Daphnia pulex: one gene and its partners. The protein of the gene in region 2 interacts with the protein of the main gene of each other region in a pairwise test. Links are inferred from orthologs where the notes say so. Each region holds a gene or a part of one and is shown on either strand. Other genes may lie near its edges. The genes, in order: ubiquitin-conjugating enzyme E2 N, E3 ubiquitin-protein ligase AMFR-like and ubiquitin-conjugating enzyme E2 W-like.

Region 1 (4,351 bases), on a different chromosome or scaffold from region 2:
CAAATTGCTTCAACTGTGAGGCTCTTCTTTTAAGCTGTCTGTCAACAGCATCATTTTCCAAAATATTTCCAAACAAAACTCTTAAAGTTTGAATGAGGAAGTTTTCTGATGAGATTATGTCAACAAAAAAATCTGGAGATACTTCTTGCATCTAAAAAACAATATATTTTAATTAATAATTTTAGTTGAAAATTGTGTTTTCTAATGTCATCACCTGAAAATAGATATCCCCAATGAACTCCACAATTAATGATGGATTTTTCAACAGAATCTCATCAGCAAAACAAAAAATACGAATCACGTTCTTCCAGTGTTCAAAAGCACTGTAAACTTGTCCTATCAAAAAACACAAAAACGCCATTTGAAGTTCAGCAAGCATTTGATTGGGTCTAAACAAGAAAATAATTTATTATTAAATACAGCAAACTATTTGGTATTTTTTACGTTCCGAAAAATAAATATTAAAAAAATGCCGACCTTTCCCAAGTTGACAGCATTTGTTCCAGTAAATAAGATGTGTCAATGCTATGTTTAGTGATTTCCATGGCACTTGATCCTACTGGATAGAAATCAACAGGGACTTTGGTAAAATTTAACGCTGTGCCTGGCTTTGGTTGCATGTGCGGTAGTAATTCATCTTCATAATTTGACCTCTTTATTCTTTTTTCTTTCACTGGAGATTCTGCTGGTGCTGGTACATCTTCTGATGAAATTAATTCTGTAACTGATGAAATCTTTTGCTGAAGGGGTTCCACTTTCCCAACTACATCAGCTAAATATTAATTGTTAGACATTTTATTTTTGTACAGATTACATAATGTATAAGAAAATATACTTGTCAATTTACTGCTGAGAGACATCCATTTCTTCCAGGTATCAAATGGATATGGACCCAAGTGCTGATCAAGATTTTTTAAATTGGCTTTTAAACTTTCTCTTTCTTCATCAGTACCTATTATGGATAAACACTAAATAATAAATTAATATTAAATAATGATTTATAAAATAAAATTACAATCGTTGATGACATCTTCTATTTCTGGGTTCCACTTACGGACCACAACTTCCTTCTTATTGAAGTTGTAAAAGAAACCTGTTCTTGGCGCTACGGAACCTTCCTTGCTTACAGAGCTAGAAATTATATAAAAATATACAATCACATTTTGTACCTCACAGTGAATGTTACACTCACACAACTGTTCTAACAAAAAATAACTTATTTGCCTGTAATAAATATAGTGAATTCCAGGGGGTATCATTTTTATGCCTTTGAATTTTTCGCCGGTTCTCCAACTGTTGAAATCTATTCCTACTTCAGTCCCAATTGGTACGCCAAGAAGAAATAAAAACGCGCCCTCTTCAAATAATTTGTTAGCCAATTTTTGATCCATTCTTTCCGTGTTTGACACTTGATGGTTTATATTTTAAAACAGAATGAAGCTGAGTGAATGAAACCACGCAAAAGCAATGAACGAACAATACTAGCAGACGACAGTTTAAAAACAAACAACATGGAGGTCAGACGTCAGATCAGTACCGGATGCCGACTTGCCGAGTTAAATTCTAGCAATTTTGCATAAAAAAAGGGAATAAAATTAACATGAAGAAGGATAGGAGAAGAAAGTGATAAAATAAAAAATTTTATGTGTTGAAGCCTGCCATTCAATCTTAATCATGCCTTATTAGTTAATTTGCCCTTTTTCAATTTATTTCAACTTTCAAGTCGAAATTCTTTCTAGATGATTCATGAAAATAATTAAAATATTCCGCAAACAGAACAGCCAATTAATCTAACCAAAAAATTTTTACTGGTCATTTTCTACGGTTCTGAAATAAAGGTTTAAACTCATTTCCGGCATTTGAAAAGCAATACCTTTTGTTTAGCTTTCTCGTGTATTTCCGTTTGTAAACCAATTCAAATAAACTTTGTTCATTTTAAATAAATCGTCTTAATTTGAAAAATAATATGTTTATATGTCTAATTCTTCCCGTGTGGCCGGGTCGATCTCCTACCGATTTTCGTCACCAAACAATTTGACAACGTCTTAAATTAGCAATAGGGCACTCGTATAGCGTGAAAACTTTCCGTCTTCTCTATTTGGCTTTAAAGTTACCATCTATTATACGAAAATCTTATTTTATACTCGTTGTTTGTTCAACAAATTGATGCGAAATGGCAGGCTTACCTAGAAGGATAATCAAGGTAACACAAATCTTAATTGTAGACTTGCATCAAAGTGGGAGGCAACGTGTTTTTTTCTCCCGATCCTATTATGGGACCGGTAGTATTCTCTAGCAATATAGTATATTCGTCATTAATTTGATCAATAGGAAACTCAACGTTTGATGGCTGAGCCTGTCCCAGGCATTAGTGCAGTTCCAGATGAACAAAATGCTCGTTATTTCCATGTTGTGGTTGCAGGTCTGTAAACTTAAATTGCAACCTTAAAGTGTCATTCTGGTACTGACTAGTTCATATTGATTAAAATTCATAGGTCCAGAAGGTTCTCCATTTGAAGGTGGTGTTTTCAAATTGGAACTATTTTTGCCTGAAGAGTACCCAATGTCTGCACCTAAAGTGCGATTCATGACAAAGATTTATCACCCTAATATTGATAAACTTGGCCGAATTTGTCTTGATATTCTGAAAGGTGATTATTTTTATTACTTTAGTGTTTGCTCTATCAAGATTGTCAAGTGTTATGTGTTCTATGCATGTATAATCTTGTGTTTTGGTTATCAGGGTATACCTGTATTGTTATGACATTTGTGCTTTGAATTTTTAAGTAACTGGGGAAAAAATCAGTTTTAACTTCAGAAAGTTGCATTTGCTTGAAAAACTTAAGTGTGTGGATTTGGCTTTGTTTAATATTTTCTAATATTTTCAGATAAATGGAGTCCAGCTTTGCAAATTCGGACAGTGCTGTTGTCGATTCAAGCTCTATTGAGTGCGCCCAATCCCGATGATCCATTGGCCAATGATGTTGCTGAGTTGTGGAAAGTCAACGAGGTAGAAGCTATTCGTAATGCTCGAGAATGGACCAGAACTTATGCTATGGGAAACATATGAAACCTGGATCTGTGGAAGGAAAAAGAGTAAAATTGTCAATCCGTTACCGAGAAATTGTGTTTGAATTTAGATTATTTTGCTTTCTTTTGTTCCTCGTCCATCAGCCTTTGTCGACTGATTCCCCTCCCTTCAATTGGTTGAACTGTCCCCGATGGTGATCAGCCAAAAAACTACATTTTGCTCGTTCTTATATCCCAATCTTCTTTTGTTTGCTCGTCAAAAGTTCTATCGACGGTTCATTCCAATTCACGCGTCGTTAAAATGATCGTCGATAGCCTACACTTTTTACCGTTTAGTACCACGAGTACCTCAAAAGGATACTAAAGAATAATAAAAATGCCGTCACCCGTGGAAGTCTAGAGTATCAAATTGTACAGCTGTGTATTTACTTGTCGTGGATGAGGAGGGTGAAATTATAAAGACGGATGAGAGCGCACATTTATCACGAAACGAAAACCATCCACTCGACAGACATAATCAATTTTTTACCAAATCTTCCCCGACCTCTTCGCACCGTTCAGATGAGGTAGGTTCAAACCGAAAAAGGGAAGCGAATATTGGTACTGAGATCCGATCAGAAACAGGAATTCCCAACACTCAAAAATAATCTCCAACATTATGGAATTTCGTGGTTACAAAAAAAAAAAAGGGAAAAACTTTGAATCCAGAATAGTTATAGACAACTGCCTCTTGGTTTTTCATGTATAGTTTTCGGTTTGGACGTCTGTCGCTCCAGTTCTATCTCACTGAAATTCGGTTGGGACCAAATTATAGCCTTTATAGATATTTAAAAATTATATACTTCTTGGCAGTTGAGAAAAGATCGGTATGGGGTCAATTGGGTGCGCAAACAAATACAGTTCAAATAAAATACCTCGAGATGCTAAATAATAATAAAAAAATGAATCACGAGCAACGACTTTAGTCAGTCTGAATGTTCTTGATCTGCAGGGGAAAGATCGTTGCCGTGATTGCTGGCACTACTGCTAGAACTACTGGTCGTGTGTCCAGCATCCAGATCAAGGTTACTGGGAGATGTTGACTTGCTGCTAATTTTTGGCCGAAACTCAGTAATGACTACTGTCACATTGTTCACTGTCACTTCTTTGTGCATAGCAGTGCTTCTGTCAACATTTTTCAACCTATTTTAAACAAACAATTAGCAAGTCACACTGAAGGATAGATATCAAATTTTGTTTTAACAATTTTATTAAAACATACCTTGGTCTGGCTTTACTGTTCCTGGTGGGGTTTCCATCTGATGATTTCCTCTCAGATTTA
Region 2 (5,224 bases):
GTCGTTTGGTCTTGTTTCGCGTCTCCAACGCGACGAAATTTATGGCTTCTTCAAAGTCACATGCAACCGACTCGTGAACAATTGCTGACGCGGGCCTGCTCCAATAACTAACCCGTTTTTAATGGACGCACACATTTAGACTGCTCTCGCTCATGGAATAATAAATAAACAGTCTTTTAAGAAATACAACTTATAAAATAGAATTTTAATCAAAAGAAAAGAATTCCATATTTCTTTACTTGACAGGTTGGAAGGTCGTCTACGAAGAATAGGTCTTAATTCGTCTGAAAAATAATTGGAATGATAGCCAGAATTCGGCTTTGAAGCTATATTACCCATTTAATGCTGGGAGCTGTATAGCGGCGTTTTCCGCAAACATATCTTGTTGAATTCCAATAATCCAAATTTGGCTCAACCAAATAACCTCGCAAATAACAACTTAACACTAACATGATAAACATAAATGTTAACTGCTTGTGAAATGCGTGTTGTAAAACGCTACAGTATAAGAAATTGGAATAGAGCCAAAATGAAAAAAAAAAAAAGATTCTCTTTAAAGTGCAGAGAAAGAGAAAATGAAATGAACTTCAAAAGTCACTTCAATTACTTAGCCATCCCTTGTTTTCGCAAAGTTATTGTTGCTTCATTTATTTATATTGAAGGATTACCACTACATCGGATAAAAGCGAAACAGGGCGCAAATTTCAAATGGAAACCTTGACCTGTCGTGACCATCAGGAGGTACGCGATAAGACTTTGGTATGTAGTGGATTCAAATTGTCTCGAATGTGAACATTTACAGAATTTAACGGTTCAGTTACTTTGCAGAGCTGACGCCCTATTGTAACGAATGTTGAGGACGCAAATCAGGCGTTATAACAGTGCCGTGTGTGTGCAAGGACACCTTCTTCCGGTCCCCATCTGGTACGAAATGACACGCTACTTTTTTCATAACCGCCCAACAAGACGATAAAATCGGCTAGACATGCAGCTAGACAACGTTTTATTTCTGATGTTTCTCCCTTTTTTCTGTCTTCCATCACGCGTTGCCATCAAAGCAGAAATAATAATAGTGAATACATTTTCTTTTCAAGGTTGATTCGGGAGTGCAATTTAGATTAGCGTAATTGAGTACTCTTATGCGTGTCTTAGGGCAGTGCCATAAAACTGAGCATTTTTGGTGCGGGAGAATGTTGCGGAATATTTAGCGAATATATCTCAGAAAATTATTAAGGGATCTTATTGAAGTTGTTTCTGAGTAAAAACAATAAAATCTACTCAGACTTGTGACGTATCTTTTTCATTTTTAATAACAAACCAGTATTCGTCGATCTAAAAACAGATTCAGCCCAGTCCCAGCATCACATGCGTAATGAATAATTGAATATTTATTAGCTTGACTGTCCGAGTCTCCGAGAGCGCAATTCAGTCTACATCTACATTTGAGAACATGTATGCAAAGTTGACATTGAATACATTTTTTCCCCTGGGGATAGCGAGACGAAATCTGCCTTGTAATTTTTGCATATTTTTGACCTTGCTAGAAAATAGTTTGCTGGAACTTTTTGAGGTTGACGCCCAAAACGTCAGTAATTTTTTTTCATTCCGTTTGCAGTGTTTACGTGTACTAGATGCTGTTTAGCCTTACCCGCCTTATCAGAGTTTTGACACATTTTCGGATTATTGAATCATTTGACAAGGCACTTGTTATCGAAATGGTCGTTAGATAACGCAGTGTTATCAAGATGAAATTGCCTTGAATTGCTGTGCTAGCTAATCCTAGTTATTTCTGCTGATGTTTTCAAATGCAATTTTCACCCCAGATTTGTTAGTAGTTTTGTCGTCTTGTGAACCCAATTTTTCTGTGTCAACAACAACAACATGCCTGTCTTACTACTTGAGAGACTACCTCTCCCGAGTTTGGAAGCTTACGCGGTAGTCAGTGTTTCTCTTTTGGGTTTGTCTCTTCACTACGCTGCAGAAAAAACACAAAACCCTGAATGGAGGATGCAATTTGTTAAAACGAATAGCAGCCAAGAGATTCCCAACTCCTTGCAAGCATTTATTTCAAACATCCTGTCTCGTTACTGGCTCAGCTCCAGAGCTCAAGATATTGTGTCATTTTCTATCCATGACAGTCTCTGCATTTGGGTTAGAACATGGCCATCCTATATTATTAGTCAATATCCAACACTTTAATCCTTTTTTATCTTCTATCCTTTACAGATTGTTGTGAACATGGCTTACTGCCTCCTTGTATTATTTGGAAATTGGCTGCAGAAGCAGGTGTTTGGGGAACTAAGAGTTTCTGAACTACAGCACATCAAAGACAAGTTTTGGAATTTTGTGTTTTACAAATTTATTTTTATATTTGGCATTAAAAATGTTCAAAGTATGGAAGGTGTTATATTATGGGGGTCCTGGTTTTCTGTTATTGGCTTTCTACACATTCATGCTCAACTTTGCCAAGACAGATTTGAATATGTAATTGGATTTTATCTTTCTTTTTTAAAAGCTCAAACAGGTATTGTAATTTATCTTATGTTTGGCGAAATTATAGTTATCTATGACTCCATGTACCCCTCGAAATCGACACATCCGCTTGCTTACCCTGCTGGGATCGATTCTGGTGGCATCGGGATTATTATTTTTGATTTGCCTCGCCGTTGGACAACGCGCTGGATGGATTACATTTGCCTTGGTCGCCCCGGAATGTCTTCTCTTGGCTTTACGTACCACCCACGTTATCTTTAGATACATCCTCTACCTGCAGTCTTGTCATCCGCCCATCCATCAGATCTCTCAAGGTTACTTGAGTTGCGCATTCGCAACAGAGACTCTCGATGTGCTCAAACATCTGACGATTGTTGGATCATAGGGTGGAGTCCTTCGTCGTACTACGTGGAATTGGCGGTGGAGATTTCATGCCTCGTTGTGGATTTGGCACATCATGTGAGACGAAATTGCTTTCTGCAATGCGACTGAATTTCGGTAACCCCTTTTTTGTCTCTTTTCGTTTAGATTCACATGCTTCTGCGAGCGAATATGCTGCTCTCTATGGCATCTTTGGTCATTTTCATGCAACTGCGAGTGCTCTACGAACAGCTGTGTGGACGTCTCCGGCGACACGGGAACTACAAACGGTTGCTGAAATTGGTGGAATTGGTTTGTACTCGAGTCGATCTAAAATATCTTAATCTCCCCTTCTTCTGCCAAGTCTCTAGTTTTAATCATTTAGTAATTTATTCTGTTATAATAGTGCTGTCCCTTGGAAACACTCCATTTCGAACTCGAATCTGAATGGGAGGATAACAAATGTGCCATTTGCTGGGAAGCAGCAGCTGTAGCCAGACGGTTGCCGTGTGGTCATCATTTTCATCATGGTATTGATTCATAACAATTAATGAGGCAATCCTTCATCTATCTATACTTGTATAGGTTGTCTGTTGCACTGGTTGGAACAGGATCCTACGTGCCCTACGTGTCGACGCCAACTTTTAGAAGATGGATCGAAAGAAACTGCTTCGTCTTCACGTCCCCGGGAAACTGCAAGTTTTATATCGTGGACGGGCTGGAGTCGACTGTTTCAACAAAACACTGATACTCCGGTAGTAGCAGCTGCAGAAAACTCTCAATTGGAAGCTTTAGCTGATCAGGTGTGACGAAATCTATCATAAAATTCTACTAATTCTTGTTCAACAATTTAAATGTTTATCGTTGTAGGTACTTCAATTGTTTCCCGATTATTCGTTTTCTGTTATCGTTGAAGATCTACGGCAAACTCGCTCAGTAGACTTAACAGTTGAGAATATATTAGAGGGTCGTCTTCTGCCCACACTTCCCAGCTTTCAACAAGAGCCTAGTCTATCTACGTTGCCAACATTCGCCAGGCAAGAAAACCAATTTGATGTTTCCCAGGAACCAGAGAAGCTCTTTGTTGATGATCCGCAAGAAAGACAACACATTCTTCAATGTCGTAAGCATGAATTAATCGCGGAAGCTCGAAATCGCTTTCTTCAGAGACAAGCACTCGAAAACAATTCCACTATCATTGAAAGTTGATTTTCTTGCTATACACGTGTGATTCTAATTTGTTATTGATCCTAAAGTGCGTAAATTATGCATTAGTGCATCTCATAATTCAAAAAACCTGTTTGTATATTGGCAAGGTAAATTATGAGTAGAAAGATAGTGCCTTTTTAATAATTACGAAATACCGCTTCGCTCGACTGGGCGTGGAAGAAAACCCTCTCTATGCCGCAAGCTAGTCCCATCACACAGACGTTCACTGTCAAACAGGGCCTACAAACGTGATTTTACTGATTCACTACCGACGAAGTGAATGCGCAATCAATAGTAACATTTGATTACCAAACATGTAGAGGACGAAATCGGAAATGTGTGACATTTTTTTTCTTCTGAGATTAATAAATCTTTCCCTTAATATCTTGAACAAGAATAGGTGATTTTCTTTCAAAAGTAGCGTTTTATGCGAGTATAATATGGCTATGGCAACAATTTAAACCCCTAAAAATTCAAATTAAATAAAGCATGATCCTTGGTACAGAAGTTTTATTCACAATTGCAGTTTTAACACATGATCAGGCATCAAGGGCAATTGGCGTCAGTTTCAATTACTTCTATTCGTTGGCGCTTGGCGTATACGTGGATACGCTCTTCCAAACTTTCTGCAATATGTATATTTTAAAACAGAAGTGATAAGTTAAGGCATTTTAATACCACGTCAAGTGAATTCAATACCGCATTTTTGCCTTTCCATTAACGGCAGATACGTTTTCGGTTCAACTCCATATACCAGACCTTTTAACTGACTTTCAATTTTGTCATCAAGCAAACCTTCTAGGCTGTTCAACATTTCTTTAATCATCGTCGCCCTACAATAATAAACATTAATAAGATTTCACAAAAAATTCGTTTCTTTTATTGCTTACTTAATGCTATTTTCGGCCCAAAGCGTCTGATAACCGCTTATCACATATCGAAGAGATTCCGCATCGTAAATCCATTGACAGTCATCATCGGAATAAGTACAAGTGAACAAATTAAGTGGAATTTCAGACGCCATCCCATACTGAGGTTTCCTATGATTGGATAAAATAATATTTTAAAAAGTATTTAAAAAAAAAACAAACAATTTGAGTCGAGTTACTGTTACCTAGGATTGCGTTCAACGTCAAGTAATTCTTGGATAATTGTCGTTTCT
Region 3 (5,235 bases), on a different chromosome or scaffold from region 2:
GAGTAGTGTTTCATCATTTGCAATGCTATCGGATTCGATCTCGGCACATTTCAGCTATTTTTCTACATGATCATGCCCTAGACGACTGAGCCATGTCATCTGTCGTGCTCGGGGTTAAACAAAAAAATGTACATTTTTATTAATTGTGTTGGAGAATTTTTCATTTGTGACATAATAGAACCGTGTAAGACATCCGCAGTGTATCGGAATGCATTATGCAATCTGGCTAAACAAAAATAAACAAGTGTTTGCAGAAAAATATTAATTGAATTAAGATTTGGGTACCCGCAAAATATCTCCAGTGGCGCAGTTGGTTAGCGCATGGTACTTATACGACAGTAATAAATGCAAAACTAACAATAAATTAAAGATAAAAAGTAATGCCGAGGTCGCGAGTTCAAGCCTCGCCTGGAGAAATTCATTTAGTTAATTTGCGAAATAATTTTAAAAAATGTTGATATTCGTTATCCAAAATGTGTGTATTGCGGTTTATTGATTGGAGCAGTGTTTGTTATACCTAACTCCATCGCTAGATATCGATAATAGTGTTTGTAGTTTGACTAATCAAACCTTTTTCAAAATGACTATAACTTCAAATTAATTCTTAGCGTAATATCGATCCTGAGATTTTTTAAATGAATGTACAGTCGAATTAAATAATTATTTTTATGTTGAATTGAACCTTAATTGCCTCAGAAATTGAATACTCTTATCGTCACGGTATTTTCAGAAGACCGTCGTGAGTTGGAAGTAATTTTTCATCATTTGCAATTCTATCGGATTCGATCTCGGCACATATGAGCTATTTAACTGAAAGCTCATGCCCTACACGATTGAGCCATGTCATCTGTCGTGCTCGGAGATAATCAAGAGAATGTACATTTTTAATTGTGTTGGAAACTTTTTATTTGCGCCATAATAGAAACCGTGTTATAAGACATCCGCAGTGTATCAGAATGCATTATGCAATCTGACTAAACAAAAATGGCAAATGTTTGCAGAAAAATATTAATTGAATTAAGTTTTGGGTCCTCTCAAAACATCTCCAGTGGCGCAGTTGGTTAGCGCATGGTACTTATAGACAGTAATATATGCAAAACTAACATCAAAATAAAGATTGAAAGTAATGCCGAGGTCGCGAGTTCGAGCCTCGCCTGGAGAAAATTATTTAATTAATTTGCGAAATAAATAAAAAAAAATGTTGATACTTCGTTGTTTCCCACTACTGTCGCCGAGACAATGAAGAATCGATCAAACAACGTCGATTCGCTCGACTTGCGTCACTCACACCTATTGCATAATGTGTTACGTCAATATGACACTGCTGTTGTCACTATATCTTGTTAGTCCTTAAAGGATTCGCAACTGCCATAAATATCTCCAACTGAAAACAATACTACCGTTACGCTTTTGTTGTCACTTGTAAAAGATAAGGGCTCCCACCTTTTTAAAAAAACATCAACGTCTCAGTTTTGTTATAATACCATATGTCATCAATCGATAACTTTCTGCCTTAAGGTTATATAGGAGATGTACAGTACCCAGTCCCAATTAGCTGACGCGGGACACAAATTAGACAGTTAGCAGTGACATTGCACGACAAAGGAGGTTAAGGAAGACGCAACTTGGCCCGTTTGCGTAGTTATTGTTTCCGCTCACGAACCACAAAAGTTCAGTGAACGTTGGAATCCCCCAACTTATTGACGTTTGTTTTTTGTCTGCGTGTGAACTGGAAAAGAAAGAAACTCGCTGAATCAGAGATGAAGGGCAATCTTATTTGCGACGTAAAAAGAAATAAACGACGATAAATGTTTATTACAGGCAGTTTCCACGGTCGTTGAACTCGCAACTTCCGCATCTGCTTTCCGCAATTCACAGCGTTCCGCACAACTGCGTCTGCGAAATACCCAGACGTTTTTGGAGGAAGAAAACAAAACATGTCATCACATCACTCGCGTTTCACATGTTCTCCTGCTCAGGTAAATATTAAATAAAAAAATGCTTCAGTTTAATAAGTGTGAACGTATTCAGAATGGCGAAACGTTAAAGAGCCGCCTGCAATTATCTAGTCGTAGTTGGTAGAAAATGAAACTCGAGGAACCTTCGGTTGCCATGTCAGCTTGTCCTTCAATCTCATCATTATTTGGACTTGTCCTTGACATTTTGCTAGTAAAACTTTTCTTTTAAGTAATATTCTTGACTCGGTTTGAGGTTTCGGAAGTCTTTTTAGCGGTAAAAATAGCTATACTGCTCTGGAGATGGTGTGTGTTCTTGAAGCTTGCTAATCGGTTATGGCACAGATTCAACCAACTGCTTCCTTATTCTTCCCAATTGAGTCACCTGAGAAAATGAAACCCTAGAAGAGAGTTCTGACTTATTGGCACATGTCAGTTTGGCACATGTCTGGTGTGGCTTTGCACGGTTCACGTGAAGTGAAACCCTGCAGCGTACTGTCAAACTGGTGACATTTCCTTTCTATAAAAGGAGAAAGCTACATAAGTGGCAAGTTAGTTCTTGGATCGGTGAGTATAGTTTTCGCATTACTTGCTGGTGGTTGTGTCTCACATTATTGGTGCCCACTGCGAATATGAGTGACAAATCCCTGACTCAATCGTGTGTTCTTCAGAGACAAGAGGTTAACCCTGATTGTTGCCGAATAGATCAGTATCTAAATAAAACTCAATTTTTTTTTAATATTACAGAAAAGGCTGCAAAAGGAGCTTGTCTCCTTGATCAAGGAACCTCCTCCTGGTGTTGTGATCGATGGAGAATCTGTGGGCCAGAGCCTGGACTTGTAAGATTGACTTGACATTTTGTTGGACAAGTGCATCACACTTTTTTCACTTTATTTTTTTCAAATCTCACTTCCAGGTTGGTGTTGAGTATTAATGGAGCTCAAGGAACGATTTACGAAGGGGAGCAGTTTCAGTTACAGTTTCGTTTCGGACCAAAGTACCCTTTCGATTCGCCCGAGGTAACACCTTTCAGTCAACGAATTGACCAAAACCAACACGTATGTTTTACTCATTTGAGACCACTCTCTTTAGGTTGTTTTCGTCGGATCGGAGATCCCTGTCCATCCGCACGTCTACAGCAACGGTCTGTCTAGCGTGAAACCCTTAAAAGATGGTCAATAATTTAACCGCGGCTCTTTTCTCCAACCTTTTCGGTTATTCAGGCCACATCTGCCTCAGTATATTGACCGATGACTGGTCACCGGCTCTGTCCATTTTTTCGGTCTGTGTTTCCATTATCTCAATGCTCAGCTCTTGTAAAGAAAAGGTCAGTTTCAATTGTGTGAAAAAGTATCTTTCTCACCCATCACTCATTCACGACTATTGACCCGTTAGAAGAGACCACCGGATGACAGTATGTACGTGAAAACGTGCAGCAAGAACCCAAAGAAAACCAAATGGTGGTACCACGGTGAGTTTGAATGGCTACCGCCTAAACCCGAGTTATTATTAATCTTTTTTAACCATAAATCATTTCCCAATTTGCCAGACGAAGAAGTGTAAAACGGGTTGATATCTCTCCCCCTCGATTCCCGCTACGAAAAGAAAAAGAACCTGTTTCACGCTGGCGATGCTCGCGTCAGAGACAATCTAGTCGCCAAAAAAATACGAAAGAAAACAAAAATGGATTTTCTTTTTTCAGTTGTCAAAATTTTCCACCCTTCCGAATCGATCGCGTTGATTTCCCATTCCCGATATTGACCTACTACTTCCTCGCATAACGAAACAGTTCCTCTCTGTCTTGATTAATATGCGGTTGATACTCTCCAATTTTTGACTTGTAGCAATATTCACGAAAAACTACAGATGTGTAATGTTTCACACTTTTGGCGTTTGATTTTTCGACTTTTAATCGACATCAAATCTACGAAGCCTTTTTCCCCCCTTCTACTGTGTTTTATCTTACCCCCACCCATTCTTTAAATGTTAAACGAAAAATATTTCGCTCGTATAAAATTTGTTTCAACTATTATACTCAAATTCTTTTTCATTTCACGTTTGGAAGACAAAAAAACTAAACGATTTGAATTAGCCAAGTAAATAATGAATTGTATATTTCTGAAATGGTTTCAAAATCAGAGGGTAGTAGGGCGCAAATTTTGTAATCGACTTTTTCTGTTTTATTATCCTTTTCGAGAACATTTTTTGATGTGTGTGTGTGTGTGTCTTGTGTGATGTTTTTGTTTCGAAAGAAATAGAAGAAGAGATTAAAGTTCGTTTCCGACAGCTTTTTTTTAAGACTCCGCTATAACAACAGCAATGAAGGGCGTGACAAAACATACTTTTGGGTAAACGTAGAGATTAATTAAGGTGGGCGACTTGAAAAAAAATGTCATTCGTCAATTAATGATCGTATTATACACACACACACCATGACTCATGTTAATGTTAAAATAGCCAGTCATATGAGGAGTGTATATATAGCGGATATGAGCTGAAGAAAAGGAGAGGAAGAAAGGTTTTTTGACAAACAAATTCTCCTGGGTAATAAAAAGGGAAAGGTTTAAAAAAAAAAAAACAATTTAACTTTTTTTTTTCGTTTTTTCTTTTTTTTTAAATCAATTAATAAAATCAGAAAGGAGGAAATCTAAAATGATTGAGCGCTGCACGGTATTCCGTCGGACGTGTACACACTGAGAAGAAACAAATCCGCCGAGCTATTTTATCCTTTTTTAAAAAATAATAATTACAAAAATCCGAACTGCATTTTTTAAAATTCATTAAGGAGAAACGAAGAAACAATTTTGAAATTGAAATAGAATTACAAAGAGAGAGAGAGAAGAATAAGGAGGGCAGGGGGGGGATTGGTATACATAACAGCTCTGTGCGAGCTCCGGTATAAATAATTGACACGAATTTTCTCTCTCCAACCACACACACACACACGTTTTTCTTTTATTTAAAAACAGACAATCTATAATAATATATTTATATATATTTTTCATGTGTGTGTGGAGGAAGGAAAATTCCTAGGAAATATATCAAACAAAGATGGAGAAGAAGAAAGAGAAATATATATAAAAGTCACATCCAATCAACTAGAGAGCTTCTTCTTTTTTAAGACAAGAGATAGATAAACCTCACACATCACTATTACAGTTGTTGTTGTTGTTGGGGGGGGGGGGGGGAGTAGAGAGAACTTGTATGATACACGAAATACCAAACTGTCGATATTATCCAACATGATATTATAAAACTTTCCTCCCGGCAGAAGAAAGAA

The links.
Region 1: the proteins of E3 ubiquitin-protein ligase AMFR-like (region 2) and ubiquitin-conjugating enzyme E2 N interact in a two-hybrid assay, tested with the Homo sapiens proteins (2 studies listed by BioGRID and IntAct). The link is inferred for Daphnia pulex from reciprocal best matches to the Homo sapiens genes AMFR and UBE2N.
Region 3: the proteins of E3 ubiquitin-protein ligase AMFR-like (region 2) and ubiquitin-conjugating enzyme E2 W-like interact in a two-hybrid assay, tested with the Homo sapiens proteins (2 studies listed by BioGRID and IntAct). The link is inferred for Daphnia pulex from reciprocal best matches to the Homo sapiens genes AMFR and UBE2W.

Annotation. Positions count from the first base shown.
Region 1 is NC_060019.1:11,512,440-11,516,790, forward strand, and holds ubiquitin-conjugating enzyme E2 N, read left to right. Parts: upstream 1-1,976; 5' UTR 1,977-2,173; coding exon 2,174-2,203; intron 2,204-2,331; coding exon 2,332-2,422; intron 2,423-2,495; coding exon 2,496-2,651; intron 2,652-2,888; coding exon 2,889-3,070; 3' UTR 3,071-3,434; downstream 3,435-4,351. Other genes in the region: protein AAR2 homolog, read right to left, coding at 1-151, 215-389, 478-772, 836-952, 1,016-1,131, 1,225-1,391; YY1-associated factor 2-like, read right to left, coding at 3,996-4,212, 4,292-4,351. UniProt on the Homo sapiens protein: The UBE2V1-UBE2N and UBE2V2-UBE2N heterodimers catalyze the synthesis of non-canonical 'Lys-63'-linked polyubiquitin chains. This type of polyubiquitination does not lead to protein degradation by the proteasome.
Region 2 is NC_060017.1:3,097,278-3,102,501, reverse strand, and holds E3 ubiquitin-protein ligase AMFR-like, read left to right. Parts: upstream 1-1,608; 5' UTR 1,609-1,881; coding exon 1,882-2,151; intron 2,152-2,226; coding exon 2,227-2,484; intron 2,485-2,560; coding exon 2,561-2,807; intron 2,808-2,878; coding exon 2,879-2,952; intron 2,953-3,021; coding exon 3,022-3,165; intron 3,166-3,259; coding exon 3,260-3,383; intron 3,384-3,438; coding exon 3,439-3,656; intron 3,657-3,723; coding exon 3,724-4,062; 3' UTR 4,063-4,090; downstream 4,091-5,224. Other genes in the region: tRNA pseudouridine(38/39) synthase-like, read right to left, coding at 4,609-4,688, 4,762-4,895, 4,953-5,102, 5,177-5,224. UniProt on the Homo sapiens protein: E3 ubiquitin-protein ligase that mediates the polyubiquitination of lysine and cysteine residues on target proteins, such as CD3D, CYP3A4, CFTR, INSIG1, SOAT2/ACAT2 and APOB for proteasomal degradation.
Region 3 is NC_060027.1:2,994,834-3,000,068, reverse strand, and holds ubiquitin-conjugating enzyme E2 W-like, read left to right. Parts: upstream 1-2,050; 5' UTR 2,051-2,587; coding exon 2,588-2,635; intron 2,636-2,702; coding exon 2,703-2,794; intron 2,795-2,871; coding exon 2,872-2,974; intron 2,975-3,047; coding exon 3,048-3,099; intron 3,100-3,178; coding exon 3,179-3,282; intron 3,283-3,350; coding exon 3,351-3,426; intron 3,427-3,504; coding exon 3,505-3,518; 3' UTR 3,519-4,231; downstream 4,232-5,235. UniProt on the Homo sapiens protein: Accepts ubiquitin from the E1 complex and catalyzes its covalent attachment to other proteins.